Notamacropus eugenii: one gene and its partner. Each later gene encodes a partner of the first gene's protein in a complex. Links are inferred from orthologs where the notes say so. Each region holds a gene or a part of one and is shown on either strand. Other genes may lie near its edges.

Evidence for each region. The genes of interacting proteins can lie anywhere in the genome.
Region 2: MEAF6 (region 1) and VPS72 share a complex: the UniProt entries of both Homo sapiens proteins name them as parts of the nuA4 histone acetyltransferase complex. The link is inferred for Notamacropus eugenii from reciprocal best matches to the Homo sapiens genes MEAF6 and VPS72.

What each region holds. Positions count from the first base shown.
Region 1 is NC_092876.1:81,762,357-81,770,626, reverse strand, and holds the start of MEAF6 (chromatin modification-related protein MEAF6), read right to left. Parts: upstream 3,054-8,270; 5' UTR 2,940-3,053; coding exon 2,850-2,939; intron 1,537-2,849; coding exon 1,421-1,536; intron 1-1,420.
Region 2 is NC_092873.1:305,027,660-305,035,599, forward strand, and holds the start of VPS72 (vacuolar protein sorting-associated protein 72 homolog), read right to left. Parts: upstream 3,122-7,940; 5' UTR 2,916-3,121; coding exon 2,799-2,915; intron 1-2,798. UniProt on the Homo sapiens protein: Deposition-and-exchange histone chaperone specific for H2AZ1, specifically chaperones H2AZ1 and deposits it into nucleosomes.

The sequences.
Region 1 (8,270 bases):
AGTTCACTGTATCATTTGATCAAATAGTTAGTGGTAAACTACTTTTTTTCATACCTTGTTGTTAATTTGACCTTCTGATTGAGCTGTCATTATACTTTGAAAAGCTGATTTAAGCACAGTTCACAACTCTTTCACAGCTCTCATCCTCACTTTGCCACTCAGAGACACCAAAAGAAATTATCCAAATCATCTGGAGGATGATCTCAGAGGACCTAATGACCAGGGTGGAGTAAGGGGGTGGGAGATTAACATTACCACAAGCTAAAGCTCTCATACAGGCTTCCATTTCACAATGTGTTTCTACTGCATTGTCTATCCCCAAGGATTCCAAAATGTAACATCAAAATTACCTTCAACTTTGGTCTCCAAGGGTGACAGACACTACTAAAAAGGAATGAAAAATGAACTGGAGTAGTGTGTCTTGTGGGTTAGAATACTAGTTTAGAAATTTACAAGGAACTTTTATCACCACTACCCTGTAAAGAAGGTAGTACAAGGATTTCAATCGCCATCATAAAGTACAGAAAACTGAGGTTCAAGTAAGTGACCAGCCCAAGGACTGACAAGTGAGATAGGGCTCCTTCCACTCCAGAGTCCTGTCGTTTCACTAACTTCTATTACATTTCAGGCTTCAGATTGGACTTCATGGCTACCTTTCTGACTCTTAGATTCTGTGACAGCATGTTGGGCCACAGTTTCCTCATATTCAAAATGTACAGATCAGTCAAATGCTCTGACTTCCAAATGAGCACCATTACTTTAAGAGCAGAAAACACTAGGAGTTAAAACTTAGAAGCAACAGTACACTACACAGTACAATACAAAAGGCACATCTGGTGAGTTTCTGCTTCTACCCACTAAATTTCAAGATTTTTTTTGGTCAGTTTTCAGAAGAGTTTTGAGAATGGAAAATGAAGAAGTCATTCCCGGATATCAACTACAAGTGTGGATTAAAGCTGGAAGGGACCTCAGAACTCATCTATTACCAACCTCCTCATTTTACAGACAGGGACATGAAGGTCCAGAGATGGGACTTTGGGCAATCACTTTAAAAAATAATTAACAAAGCAGGAATCCAAACAGAAGCTCTCTAACTACAAATTCAGGATTCTTGCCATCACTCGACAGCATAAAACACAGTAATAGGTTTAGGAGAGAAACTGGACTGACCCCTGAGGACTGATTATTTCAGTAAAACAAAAAAAGCCCAGATGTCAAACTCACACAGAACTGTTGAGTAAAGTCACTTAAGGGAATTTGCTACCTGGAATTGGCTAAGCTCTATGGCTCCACATATGATGACAAATGGTGCTAGATATTAAACTAGAAACTGCTACTGGAGACACACTCTTAAAAACAGAAATTGGTGACATTCTACCCAAAACACCCGCTATAAAACAGAAGCCTTTCTGACACTCACTTTTGATTTGTCAGATAGCGGTCCCAGCCCCGAATAATATTGCCATACATCTGGGTGTCTTCCAAGTAGCTCCCTTCAAAAGCATAGATCTGTCTCTCCAAGTTTGCCAGCGTCTCCTGGTGGACACACACAAAAAAAGCACAGGGATGCTACTACCTTTCAAGTTGGAATATTCAGTCTGACCAAAAGGAGATTTAGTCAACAGGTTTAAAACGGAGGCTCTTGCCTCACAATAATTCACACCTGACAGCACCTTTTCAGTACATTTCCACGGAATTCTTACCCTCCATTGAGTAGGTGATGTATGATTATACCCAAACTATTTATTACACAATCATCACTTTGGCTTTGGGAGGCAAAGTTAGGATTTGGGGTAAATTGAACCCTTGCTGTTTCTGAGTTACACTAATACTGCTTTTGACACCTAGAGGAGCAGGCTGACTGCTACCAAAAGGGAATTTCACTCAGGTTGGTAAAAAGTTCTTGTAAGAGCAGCATAAGCTTTGGAAGGGCCTTCCATCCATAAGGCTCAGAAAGCCTTTTAAGGGTCAGGATCCCTTTTCCATTAGCAAGAGCCAGAAAACGTCACTGGATTCCTTGTGGCTACAGTAACCAACATTTGCTGCTCCAGGTGAGAATGGCCCACCACCAGCCCCATGCAAGGTTCTGTTCAAGGGTGACTTTGCTTTGCTTCTGTCCTCCCCTTACCAAATAACCCTACATTCCCCCAACCCTATTATCCCTCCCACACCATCCTCTCCCTTCCCCCAAATACCTCCCAATTCCAAGTCTTTTCCACACCTACCTCCTCCCCACCCCCCACCAGAGGCACTCCTGGGAGAGTACCCAGTCCCACCTCCCTCCCCCTCCATCCCGCCGCCTAAAGTCCCAATTCCCCAGCTGTCCCATCCCAGGAACACCTCCTCAGAAGGCCCCTTCACTTTCTTTCCCCATGTGCTTCCCTACAGAGCATCCCTGGGCCTCAGTTTCCCCAGCTGTCAAATGGAGAGGTGGGACTAGCTCTAAATCTATGAAGCCAGAAACCCACCCTGCTTCCGCTGTGTTCCCCTCCCCCATCCGCCCCGCCCCCGCCCCGCCCATCCCGCTGCTCAGCCCCGCCTCCGCCCCCGCGGCTCGCGCCCGGCAGTCCCCGGGGGCGCGTGGGGGCGCGGGCCCGTGGAGGCGGGCGCGAGCGCGGCTGGGCCCCGGGGCGCGAGGCTGGGCCCCCCGGGCCGCGGGGAGCGGGAAGCGGAAGCGGAGGAAGGGGCGCCGTGCGCCGGGCTCGCAGAGAAGCCCAGGGCCCGCGCCGCTGCCGCCGGCGTAACGGCCGCCAGGAAGCCGGGCCGGGCCGGACCCCCGCCCCGAGGTGCTCCCGGGCTGGGCGAGGAAGACCCGAGCGCCTTCCTCCTCCTCCCTCCTGCCCTCTCACCGCCAGCTCCTGCTTGCGCTTCACCAGCTCGGCCAGTTCCCGCCGGGTGTCCGGGATCTGCGGCGGCGCCGCCTTGTTGTGCATCGCCATGTTGGGCCGAGGCGCGAGGAAGGAGGCAGAGAGAGAGCGAGCGGGGTGGGGAGGGAGCGAGCGAGGGAGGCGGCCCCGCCGCGCCCCCGCCCCTCGGCCGCCAGGGGGCGCCGCCGCCACTGCGCCTGCGCGCGGGCGTCCCAGGCGGGTGGGGGAGGAGGCAGGCCGTGGAGAGCAGAGAGGAAATCAAGGGAGGGGGAGAGAGGAAGTGGAAAGAGAGAGAGAGGAAATAAAGGGAGAGAGAAGAGGAAATAGAAGGAAGGGAACAGAAAAGAGAGTAGAGAGGAAATGGAGGGAGAGGAGAGAGAGATAAGTAGAGAGAGGAGGAGAAAATGGAGAAGGGGAGAGAGAATAGAGGGAATGAGGGAGAGAGAAGAGGAGAAGGAAAGGGACAGAGAGAGGAAGAGGAGTGGGATGGAGGAGAGAAGGGAAGGGAAAAGAGAAGAGATCGTGGGGGGAGAAGGGAAGGAGAGAGAAGAGAGGAGATGGAGGGAGGAGGGAGGGAGAGATTTTGAGAGCTCTGCCCTCTGGCCCAGCTGAGGCCGTGGGGGCAGAACAGCAGGACCTCGGACAACCGCTGCCTTATTTGGCCAGGGAGGAAACCAGACACAGAGAAGGGAAGGGAGGTGAGCTCGACCAGTACTGGTCAGGAGCTGCCAAGCGCAAGAATGCAAGTTTCGTGAGTTGTCTTTAAGTCCCAGACTTCTCCAAGATACACCAGTGAATCTGCGATCTCGTCGTCTAGGAGTTCCCTCCACCAGTGGACATCCTGACGCATCCTAGCCAGCCTGTCCAGCACCATTCTCGACTTAACCCTCCCAAAGTGTGTCACAAGTTGTTGAAGGCCTTTCCTGCTCTCTCCCAACCTGGAGAAGCTACTAGTGCACAGTCCATCTTCTCCTTCTGTCGTACATCTCTGATGATAGCCTTTACTCCTGTTTTTACACTTGGTTCTATGTGGCAGCCTGCTTGCCCCAACCACAGACCTTTCCATTGTCCTCTCTGTGATGCTCATTTTGAATTTTTCAGAAGCAATGAGGGAAGGGGGACGCTGACCAGTGAGAGCTGTTTCCTCAAAGCACAGCAGTGCCCTCTGCCTGCTGCCACACCTGCCTTGGGAAGTGTGTGAGGATGAGTAATGGAGGACCCTGCTCTCCACCTCAGAGCATGCACAGCACAGTTATTCTAATTATTTCCAGTTCACTAAACACATGGACTTTTGATTGGCTGCTGAACCAGAACTGGGACTGTAAATAAAAAACTATTGAGAAGGCAACTCAGCCCTTTTTCCTTCCCTGGCATCCAGAGAGGTGTTACCAATCTCCAGGGCCACAGACCCCCTCTCACCAGGAGCCAGTCTGAAGCACATGGCCCTATTGTTTCCGAAAGAGGAAGTACCAGTAACCTACTTTCTCCACTATAGCCACATGAAGCCATGTTGCTTCCATTGTGTCTTTATTTTAATGCTGTATAGTGAAGGAATATTGGAGGTAGAAAAACCTGGTAAGATTATAAAAGCTTCAGGAACAGAGGCTCAGTGGCGGAGTCCATAGTTAAAGCTGACAAAACTCCAACACTGCCATAGAGAATCTTGAGGAGCTAGAAGGCCACATGTGGCCTTGAGGCTGCAGGTTCCCCACCCCTGATCTAAGACAACTCAAAAAGACTCATGATGAAAAATGCTATCCACATCCAGAGAAAGGACTATGGAGTCTGAAAACAGATTAAAGCAGACTATTTTCTCTCTTTCTTATGGTTTTCCCCTTTTGTTCTGATTCTTCTTTGACAACGTGACTAATGTGGAAATATGTTGAATATAATTGTATACATATAGTCTATATCAAATTGCTTGACATCTTGGGGAGGGGGGAACATAAGGAGCTCAAAATCTTATAAAAGTGAATGTTAAAAACAAATAAATTTTTAAAAAGAACTTTGACAGATTATATGTCTCTAAAGCAGGGGTTATTAATCTAGAATCTGTGAACTTTTAGATAAACATTTTTGATAAAAAAAAAAAAATGACCAACAGAGCCCAGACTAGCAGTAGGTGATACCCTAGTAACAGAAGCACTGAATGAGGTCCTACAAGCAAGGCATGGACTGTGTCCATTTGCTGTACCTCATTCAGACGAGAAGTTGGCAGAGTAAATGCTATGTAGCAACTGCTTTAAAATGGTGCCCCCTAAGCCCCAGGGACTGAGGTGGTATAGAGGACAGTATGCCCTGAGGTGCTCAGGGAGAATAGTTTATACTTCTATTCTTGTTATATCCTCTCAGTAAATATCCCTTTCTAAAAGCAAATTTAATGTTAATTGTTTAAATGATCCTAGAGCCCTAGTATCTAAGGTGAATTTCCTAGGGGAAAGACTAACTGTAATAGCTATTGCCATTGGGGAGAACATACCAGGTTGGGGATTCAAGCTGAAGGAATCAAAAGAAACCTCCCTGCCCTTGAGAACCCAACTCATCAGTGCTGGTGGGACCTGGTCTAAGGACCCCAGCTTTTATAGACTATATTTGTAAAGAAAAGATGGACATTTGTTGTCATGAGGAGCTTGATTGGAGGAAGGGGTCAGTAAAAGTGCTTCGCATTTTCTTGAAAGCAATCCAACCCATCCTCCTTTTCAACCCTTGGTCTAGCTCATTGTCCATCTATATTGTCTTCAGTTGGACAAGATCTGTCATAAGTCTGTTGACATATTCTCAGTCACTTTTGGGGGAATCAATTAGGTGTGAGTTTTTAGTTGTTGGTTTTTCCCCGCAGCCCTTTGGTACCCTCGTTTAGATAACCTCATGAATCAGTCCCTCATTACCTCACGATTGTGTCACCTCCAACATGGATCTTGTCTATACATACTTGATCCAATTCAACTCTTTTTCCCATCTTTGTTCTTTAGTGCCAATTCTACTTCTGTCAGTCCCTTAGAGACTGATATTAGGGCCTAAGTGTGGTGGTTCCACTAGCCTTGATAGAGAAAACCGTTTCTTGTAATAATTTTGGAAAATCTTTTCAAATACTCTTCTCTTTATAGTTCACTTTCTGTTTTCATCCTTGGGTTCTTTTAGGATGACTGCACAGTTGGATATTTTGCCTGACTTTCTTTAGACTGATTTTGTCTCTGCTTTATGAGATAATACTGCTCAAATATCCAGCATCCTTCTTTGTAAGATTTTCCAGAAGAGTTTGGTATCCTAACCTCATATTTCACTGAAAAAAACAAGTGATTTTCTCCTTTCCTCATCTCAAATCATTCAGATACCTTGCACTACTATTTCTTCCATCACTCTGTCTCACATGAAGAAGTGACCCTATATCTCTTCTGTATTTCATAGCTGAATTCTTTGAAAAAAGGCCATGTACCACCAGAAACTCCACTTCCTTTCCTTTCACTCTTAACTCTTTACAGTACAGCTTCTGGTCTCATCATTCAATTGAAACTGCTCCCCAAAGTTACCAATGATTTAATTGCCAGATCTAATGAATTCCCACCAGTCCTCATCATTTTTGACTTCTGCAGCCTTTTACACTAATGATCTCCCTCCTTTCCTTGATATGCCTTTCTCTTCTCTCTAGGTTTTCATGACATTGCTCTCCTATTTCTCCTCATACCTGTCTGACCTCTTCTTGGTTTCCTTTGCTGAATCTTCCATCTATATGTTGATCCTGGTAACCATAAGTTTCACCAAAGTTTCCATCCCCAATTCTCTTCCCCCTCTCTACTTTTACACTTGCTGATCTTATCCATGTTTTTAATGATCACCTCTGTAGAAATGATTCTTAGATCTCTTTGTTCAGCTCTAACCTCTCTGCTGACTTCCAGTCTTGCATCTCCAACTGCCTATTGGATATCTTGAACTAGATGTCCTGTAGCCATCTGAAATTCAACATGTCCAAAACAACTCATCTTTCCACTCAAATCTTCCCCTTTTTAGTTCTTAGTTTATTGTCAAGGGTAGCACCATTTCCCCCACCCAGGTTCAAAACCTAGGTATCATCCTCAAAACCTTGTACTCTCTCACTCCCCATATTCCATCAGTTGCCAACACCTGTCATTTCTACCTTGGCAATATCTTTTGTATACGTTCCCTCTCTTCTCTGACATTGCCACCACCTCGGTGCAGGCCCTCATCACCTTTTGTGTGGTTTATAGCAATTGCTTGCTGGTTGCTCTCCCTGCCCCAATTCTCTCCCCAGTCTATTCCATCCTCCATTCAGCTGTCAAAATTATTTTCCTAAAGCCTAGGTCTGACCTTGTCACATACCTATAAACTCCAGTGACTCCCTTTTAACCCCAGGATTAAATATAAAATTCTCTGTTTATTGACTTATACAGCCTTTCCAAACCCAGCCCCTTTCTGTCTTTCCAGTCTTGTTATACCTTACTCCCCTCCATATATGCTGATCCAGCAGCACCAGCCTCCTTGCTATTCTGAGGATACAGTGGCAAAGCAGATGGATTTTACACTCCATTTCCCAGTCCCAGGCATTTTTACTGGTTGTCCCCCATGCCTGGAATTCTCTCGCTCCTTCTCCATACCTCCTGACTTTCTTCAAGTCTTAGCTAAAATCCCACCTTTTGCAGTAATCTTTAATTTTAGTGCCTTCACTCGGAGATCATCTCCAGTTTGTCCTGTATATATCTTGTTTATACATAGTTGTTTGCATGTGGCCCCTCCATTAGATAATGAGTTTCCTGATAGCTGGGAGTATTTTTTTCTTGCCTTTCTTTGTATTGCCAGCACCTAGTACAATACCTGGTATATATTGTGTGCTTAATAAATGTTTATCAACATGATTTTATTAGCCTGGTGTCGCTGTCATCTCTCTCTGGCAAGAAAGTCAAATAGTTACTGACTAATGTGCTCTTTGTACTGTTTTGTTCTTGTTGTAGTAGTTAATTTTCATTGAGTGAGCTTTTGGATGAAATTATTATAGTCTGTGTCTGTGTAGTTTGTTGTCCATTTCCCATTTTTTATCTTCAATAGCTTGTTTCATTCAAGGTTAAATCTTAATTATATACCATGTGTTTTTCTCATTAATATTATCTTATTAATTATAAAGTCTGATCTTAGCCCTGACAAAACAAGGAATTGTCTGACTTGCAGTCAGATGACTGAGATAACTCCCAGATTGCTTCTCCATTAATATGTCATCAGTTTCATTCTTTATCATGTTGTTTGGTGCTCACCACGTTTAGTACCTGTCAACTCTTTTTTTTGACAAATGTATTCATGATATAGAGGTGTGAGACTTCTGTACAATCTACAAAAGTCTTTGACCTTTCTCATTTTTTTTGCTCTCAAGAAAATTAAATGTCCAATATCACA
Region 2 (7,940 bases), on another chromosome or scaffold:
TGTGTTCAGTCATTCGTGTTTCAGAAGGATGATCGACAAGCTGGAGATCATACATAGATAAGTAAGCAGAATGGGGACGAGAATGAAAAACACACTCTATACATCAATCAGATGAAGGAGATAGGATGTTTAGTCTAGAGAAAACTAAGGGAGGATGTGGTAACTGCCCTCAAGTACCTGAAAGGCTCTCATGTGGAAAAGGAGTATTTGTTGAAAAGGATTATTTGTTTGGCTTTGTCCCAGAGGAGAGGAATGGGAGCAAAGAATGCAACAAACAGAAAAGCAGATTAATATTAAATGTAAAGAAATATCTCCTAACCATTGGCACTATCCTAGAACAGGAATGTGCTGTATGTGATGAGTTCCCCATCAATGGAAGCATTCAGTCAGAAGGCTGAGTAAAGCACTTGTCAGGAACACTGTGGAGGGGATTCCTATTTGGGCACAGGTTGGACTAGATGAACTCTTGAGATCCCTGGCCAACTCTATGATTCCTCTAAATCTTCGGGATCTGTTTTAAGACGAACTGCTGTTTCATGTGAACCATTCCATTCTGTACCCATACAGTTTAAGTTTTTAACCCTGGAGCTGTATTTTACATTTATGTCTATTAAATTTCATGATACATCAATAGGCCAAAAATTTTGAAGCCTAAGTATCTCATCCAAAACTTTCTCTTAGCTTAGGGTTATTTACAAATTCTATAAATAAGGTATATCTGTGCCTTCATCCCCATCTTTGATGAAAACTATAGAACAGCAAGAAACAGAAGACAGAGCCCCAGGTGAGGAGATCTATTAACCCAACATTTTTTGGATAAAAGGCTCCATCTAGATTTCCGCTTAACTATGCTATCATGGAGCTCTCTTCATCTGTATATAAAGATCTCATAAAGAACTGTTATACCCTTTACAGAAATCTGGGTTCACTATGGCTAAAGCATTCCCTTGACAACCTCTTTAAAAAAAGAACAAACCAAACATGGAATGCAAAGAACACCAAGCTTGGAGTCAGATGACCTCAATTTAAATCCAGACTTTTTTGCTTACTACTTATGTAACCCTGAGTAAATCACAACTTTCTGGACCTGCTTTTCCTTATACATACTATAAAAAGGCTAGACCACATGACCTTTACAGCTCTAAATTTATTTGCCCCATCCAACTCTAAATTTATGATCCTAAGAAATGAAGTCAGTCTGGCATAATAATAACAATTGCTAGCCTAGCGTTTATATCATGCTACTATGTACCAGCAGCTGTGTTAAGTAAGCACTTTACAAATGTTACCTCACTTCATCTTCACAAGAACCAGGGGAAGTTGTTGGGGAATCTGAGGCAGAGGCCAAGGGACTTGCCCAGGATCACACAGCTAGTGTGCGAGGTTGGATTTGAATTCGTCTCCCTGACTCCAAGTCCAGTGCTCTACCAACTGAGCCACCAACTGCCTCTTGTTCTTGGTAATTACCATCACTTGTTCGCATGTAATTATATGTTCACTCTGCTCATCACTTCCCTAGTGTTCACAAACTGATTGTTTAAATAACCTCCAAACTGCTTAGGGACCCTTCTCAATCTCCTCACGGATAAGAACACTACCCCTGTAGTCCAAAAGACCCAAAGATTGAATCTCACTTCAGACCTTTATTAGTGCTATGACTCAGAATCAAATCTGTAAAGGAACTATGCAGCGCAACTTGAAGTCACCAAGACCTAAGGTCAAATCTGACCTCAGATACTTACCCTCTCTGTGTTTCAGGTTTCAGGTTTCCCATCTGTAAATATGGTTGTTGTGGGGATAAAATAAGAGTATACTTGTAAAGTGCTTCATAAATGCTTATGATTATTTGATCTCTTGGAGCCTCAGTTTTCAGTTACCTCATCTATAAATGAGGATGGTAACAGCACCTATCTCATAGGACTGTGTTGGACTTAATGAAGGATCTGGCACATAGTTGTTTGTCCTTCCTTCTCCATGACATCAGGAAGGTGATGTCATGATGCACAAGTTAATTGGATTTAAGTGAGGAAGGGCTGTGCAAAATCACCAGCCTCACTTTATCCTTCAGAGTCATCTGGGTCTGGGTCAGGCAGGTGGTGCAGGGGAGAGAGCACTGGTCCTGGAGTCCAGAGGATCTGAGTTCAAATCTGCCCTCAGGCACTTACTATATCTGTGTGACCCTGGGCAAGTCACTTAACCCTGAGTGCCTCCTCCACCAAAAACACAATCACTGGAACCTCCTGGCACATAATAAGCATAAATGGCAGCCCTTGTAATCCTAGTTATATGGTGTTTGGCAATCTTTAAAATTTACTGTAATTTCTAACGGAATAGAGGATGATGATCATTACGGCTAGCATGAAGCGCCTTCCAAATATTCTTTCATTTATTCCCCCAACAACCCTGGGAGGTAAGTGCTATTATGAAATAATACTTATAAAGCACTCCATAAACGCTGGCTATTGGTGTCGTCATCATCATCCCCACTGCGGACAGATGAGGAAACTGAGGCAGGCGGGAGGGAAGTCACTTGCTCAGGGCCACACGGCTGATGAATGTCAGAGGCTGCACTGGAACCCAGGCCTAGCGGATGCCTGATGCCCCGGCCGGGGAAGGATCCAGAAATACCGGCCTGGGCCTCCTCTCCCGACAGCTGTCCCAGGCAGGGGCAGCGGAGGGCGAAGGCCGAGGGGAGCCCCTCCCCCCTGCTCGCCACTCTCCGATCCCCCTCCCCCTCCCCCGGCCCTTTTTCAGACCCCTTCGCGCAGCCCCGCCCCCTCCCTGGGCCCAGCTCTTGCCTCTGTGAACCCCCCATAAGTGGTCTGGTAGAATTCATCTTCCTCCTCTGCCTCCAAGAGCCCAGACAATCGGTTCCCAGCGGTCTTCCGGGGTGCTCGGCCCCCAGCCAAGCTCATCCCTCCTCCGGCTCCAGCCGTCACCGGCGGCGGACCCGAGCTCGCTCGGCGCTCGGTGCTTTCCGCCTGCCTAGCGTCGCCGCCGGAAAGGAGAAATCGTTACAGGCAGAAGCAGCCGAGCGCCGAGCTGAGGATAGAGCCGAGCTCCGGAGCGGCCCCGCCCTGCTCCTCCACCCCTCCCTCTCCGTAGCCCGGCCTCCTGGCACGGAGCCTCGACAGCTCCGCCCCCTTCCCTCTAGGGCCGCCTACTTCTCCTCTCCCCGCCCCTCAAGCTCTCAGCAATTTCCAGTAAACTAGGACGTGAGAGGCACTGGGTCTGGGTTCAATCCGTTTTTGGGTGGTGGCATTAGAGTTGGAAGAGTGTGTCATTCAGCCTCTTTTAAAAGAACAGAAACGGTCACCCAGCGAATCAGTGTCAGAAAGGCTTCTCATCCCCAGGCTGGGGCTCTAGCACAAGGCGCAGACGTCTGCCAAAGCAGGGTTTGTCAACAAAGCTGTTAAAAGTGATGTGGGGACGAGGTCGAAACGAGGAAATGCTTATGTAAAATAATGCTACAGATATAGAACATGGGCATGAAAATGGCACCTGTCATACGCCTGGTGTGGAAATCAAGATAATATTTTAAAGCGCTTGGCACGGTGCCTGACATAATAAGACCTATATATAAAAGTCAACCATTATTATCATTATTGTACAAGGCTCTTTGAGATCTTTTATGTTCATTATAATTCCTCTGGAAATGATGATGAAGATAGCATTTGTACGTAGCACTTTAAGGTTTGCTATGTATATATACACATAGATGTATGTGTACAGCATATATAAAAACACATGCACGTGTATATATAACACAGTATTACAATAACTAGCTTCTTTTAAGCCTCGGAGGGCATGCAAGGTCCCTATGATTTTTCTTCTCTTCAGCTTTAGGGAGAATATTTCAGATGAAAAGTTATAAATTCAGTCACAATTGCTTCAAGCTCCTAAGTAAAAAAATTCCTAACATTGAGATAGAGATTGGACTATTTGTCTAACTTCATATATACATATATGTACATGTACATATACATATATAATATAATGTTAATATATTCAGTAATTAACATGCAGGCATATATTATATATACACATGTAGTTAACCCATAGCCTCTTTATTATTTAGGCAAAATTCAATTTACTAGAAATATTCGAGTAACAATACAGCAGCTTATACTGTAGTGTCTGTGGATAGACCAGCATGAAGTAAGTAGTCCCTGTTCAGACTTGATTCTGCCTGATTGATTCAATCAAGACGTGTTCTTACCTTAAAAAAAAAAAAAAAGCAGTTACTTTTAATTGGGTGAGGTAAATCAGTGGAGTCTGACCCTTATTCGGATGTATAAAGATCAAAAGATAATTTCACAGAATTGCAGAGATTTAGAGCTGGAAAAGATATCACAGTGGGCAAACTAGTCCAACCTGTATGGGATAACTAGGTTAGAGTTTAATGCTATATTTTTCCTGTAAATTTACTTCAACTTTGTAATTTTTAAAAACATAATTGAGGGGAAAAAAAGATTCCTAAGCTTCTTGCCTCTCCTCCATCCCTTCCACCTGTTCTTAATCCAATATGTTTTGGAGATCAATCAACAATGCCAAACTGTCTCTCATATATACGGGATTATTTCTATGATTCTTTTTAGAGGTATCATGCCATTTTCCCTTTTCTAGTGGAAATGGAGATTAGCTCCTTTTCCTACTTCCTAAGGAGTGCAAAACCAATCTGCCCTACCCTTTCCCCCACACCCTGCCACATCATCCTGTGTCCTCATGTGCTATGCCAGGAATGTTGCTAGGGAAGATCAGGGATATGACTCAAACAGAACGTTGCAGAGAAGAGGGTGGGGGGGCTGCCTTGCCTGAAGAGCATACTGCCCCTGCATGAGTCAAGATTGAGAAGGAGGAATCCTTCATTATGTCCTTGCCCATTCCCTGACCTCTCTTGTTTAGTTATGAATATATAATTACTCTTTACTCTGATTCCTTTTCTAATACATGGAGAGAAAATTAAATTTCCTAGGCCAGAAAGAAACTGGTAGACAGAGGCGGTTTTTGTCATTCAAATCCCACTCTCTTCTGGATCCAGAGGTATTGCTGAGGGTGATGAGTTTCCTTCATATGGCTGGATTCCACTTTGGTTAGAGTCATGGAGATATGTCCAACTTTAATTTAATCTCAGTTTTATTCTCATATCTGCTGATTGTAGAAGTGACTCACTATATGAAAGAAACCCTAGCCTCCTTGGGCAGTATTATTTTCTCTGTGAGAATTTTCATAGGCATGTAGAATCTGTTTTCAAAATCTCCTACTCTCGTACCAGCTCACAGGATCATATCCAGTCCTCTCCTTTTATAGGTGAAATAGCAGAACCCTGGAAAGGTTATGGACAGCTGGTGGTACAGTGGGTAGAACATAGGGCTTCAAGTCAGGAAGACTCATCTTCCTGAGTTCAAATTTGGCTTCAGACACTTACTAGTTTGTGTGACCCTGGGCAAGTCACTTAACCCTGTTGGCCTCAGTTTCCTCATCTGTCAAATGAGCTGGAAATGGCAAGCCACTCCAGCATCTTTGCCAAGTAAACCCTAAAAGGGGTCACGAAGAATCGGGCATAATCTAACAAGAACAGAAAATTTAAATAATTTAGTTAAAGCTAGTCCAGCCAGGACCATAACTCAAGTCCCCTGTCTGAATCTAAATTCAGTAATTTTTCCAATATACCAAACTACCCTCCCTCTTCCCTCCTTTGCAAAGCTTGGTATGGGCAACCCATTATTTGGGGGGAAACCAAAACAAACAAACAAAACCAAAAAGTCCAGTAGATGGCAGCAAGGAGCAATTACTATAGTTCCTGACTTCTCCTAGGCGTAAGAGATAGCAAAGTTCATTTGGTGCATATTGGTTGGTTGTTGTCCTTCCTTCTCCAAGACCAAAATGACATCACTATGTTAGAGTCAGGTTACAATGCCTCTAACTGTGGCTGATCAGACCCACTCAAGCTCGAATTGTTCTAATACAGATCGGACACAAATATTCTATGTGAATATTTGGGGTGGATTCTGTAAATGTGTAAATACACATCTTGCATTTTTTTTTTTTTTTTAGTAATTTCAATTTTGCTTTGCTCATAGAGCACAGCACACTTTCTGATGTGCGCACACCATGCTGGGTGGTCCTGTGCCAGTGTCTCCCATGTCACACAATCAATTCCAAAGTTCTTTTTTTGTTTGGTTGGTTTTTTAAATTAATTTTTAGTTTTCAACATTCACTTTTATAAGATTTTGAGTTCTAAATTTCCTCTCTCTCCCCTCTCTCCTCTCCAAGACAACATACCATCTGATACATATACAATCATCTTACACATATTTCCGCACTAGTCATTTTGTGAAAGAAGAATCAGAACAAAAGGGAAAAACCATGAACAAAAATGAACAAAAAAGAAGAAAAAATAGTATGCTTTGAACTGCATTCAGACTGTAGTTCTTTCTCTGGATATGGATAGCGTTTTTCATTAGTCTTTTGGCAATTCCAAAGTTCTTAGGAAAGACATTGTACTGTTTCTTCAGACCACCATGTGAATACTTGCCCTGTGTGAGTTCTCCATAAAACAGTCTTTTAGGCAAGTGTACATTTGGTAATTGAACAATGTGATCAGTCTGTTGAACTTTCACTCTGCAGTAGAGCTTGGCAGTTTAGTCTTAGGAAGGACCTCAGGGTCCAGTACCTTATCCTGCCAGGTGATCTTCAGAATCTTCCTAAGACAATTCAAATGGAAGCGATTCAGTTTCCTGCCATGGAGCTGGTAAAGTGTCCATGTTTCACAAGCATAGAACCGTGAGGTCAGCACAATCAGTCTGTAGACCTTCAGTTTGATAGTCTAATATCTTTTCTTTCCCACTCTTTCCTTGGGAGCCTCCCAAACACTGAGCAAAGTTCTGGCAACGCGAGCTCCAATCTCATGATCAATATGTACATCTCTAGAAAGCATACTGCCAAGGTAAGCTTATATAATCGTGGGGTAAATGAATATAGGGAAGAAAAGATCTTCTCCCTTCTCCAAATTTCCACAATACTTCTGGCAGACTTTGTTGGAACCGAATGGACAAAGACGACAGGATGGAAATGTCAGCGAACTCTCTGTCTTGTGCCTATTTTCCTTTGAACCTACAAGAACTCTTGGCTGAGAACAGGAGCTGCGTGATGGCTTTTGGATGGGGTTAGATGACCTGTGATAGGACCCACTGACCACGGCCTTCTGACCCCGGCGATCTGCACTCATTCAGAAGCTTTGCTTGGCCAGTATGTGATCGGGTGTGTTCCGAAGCTTGTGGGAGAGGCCTGACAGCTTCGGAATGAGTCTAATAAACGTGTCGCGAATGAATGAATACGCGGGAAGATGATCCTGAGGAACATCAGGAGGGAGGGCCCCACGTAGATCTCGGAGGCGGGGCTCTTGGAACTTGACCTGTGACCTAGCTCCAAGTTCCTAAACTTGTTATGAATTCCCTTGCAAAGGGTTTTTTCCTCCATCGGTTCCTTTTCACTAACTGGATACTTACTGAACCCTTTGATTCCTAGCCCACTCTCCAGCTGCACACCCCAAGTGACCCATCCAGGCCACCATAGGGTAGGAAGTCCAAGCGAGTTCGGCTTCTCCTCCCCACCCTCCAGAGCCTCCGGGGATTTACTGGGGCTTGTGAGGGCAGCATCATGTGACCTCGTGACTTGTCCAGATTGGCCTCGTCCTCCTTCTGCTCCCGCCCACCGAAAGTGTAGGCTGGAACGCGGGCGAAGTAGGGAGAACGGGCGCATGCGCGGGCCCTGGATATTTTTTTTTTTTTTTTTTTTTTTTTTTCCCCCTAGACACCCAGTGCGGAGCTCCGGAGTTGGACGATAAACAAGTCTCTGGCAGGGGTTGGGATTCGCTTGGCAGGAGACTTCTCACGCCCCCTTTTTTCTTTAGGTGTGGTGCAGCCCGAAGGCGTGGC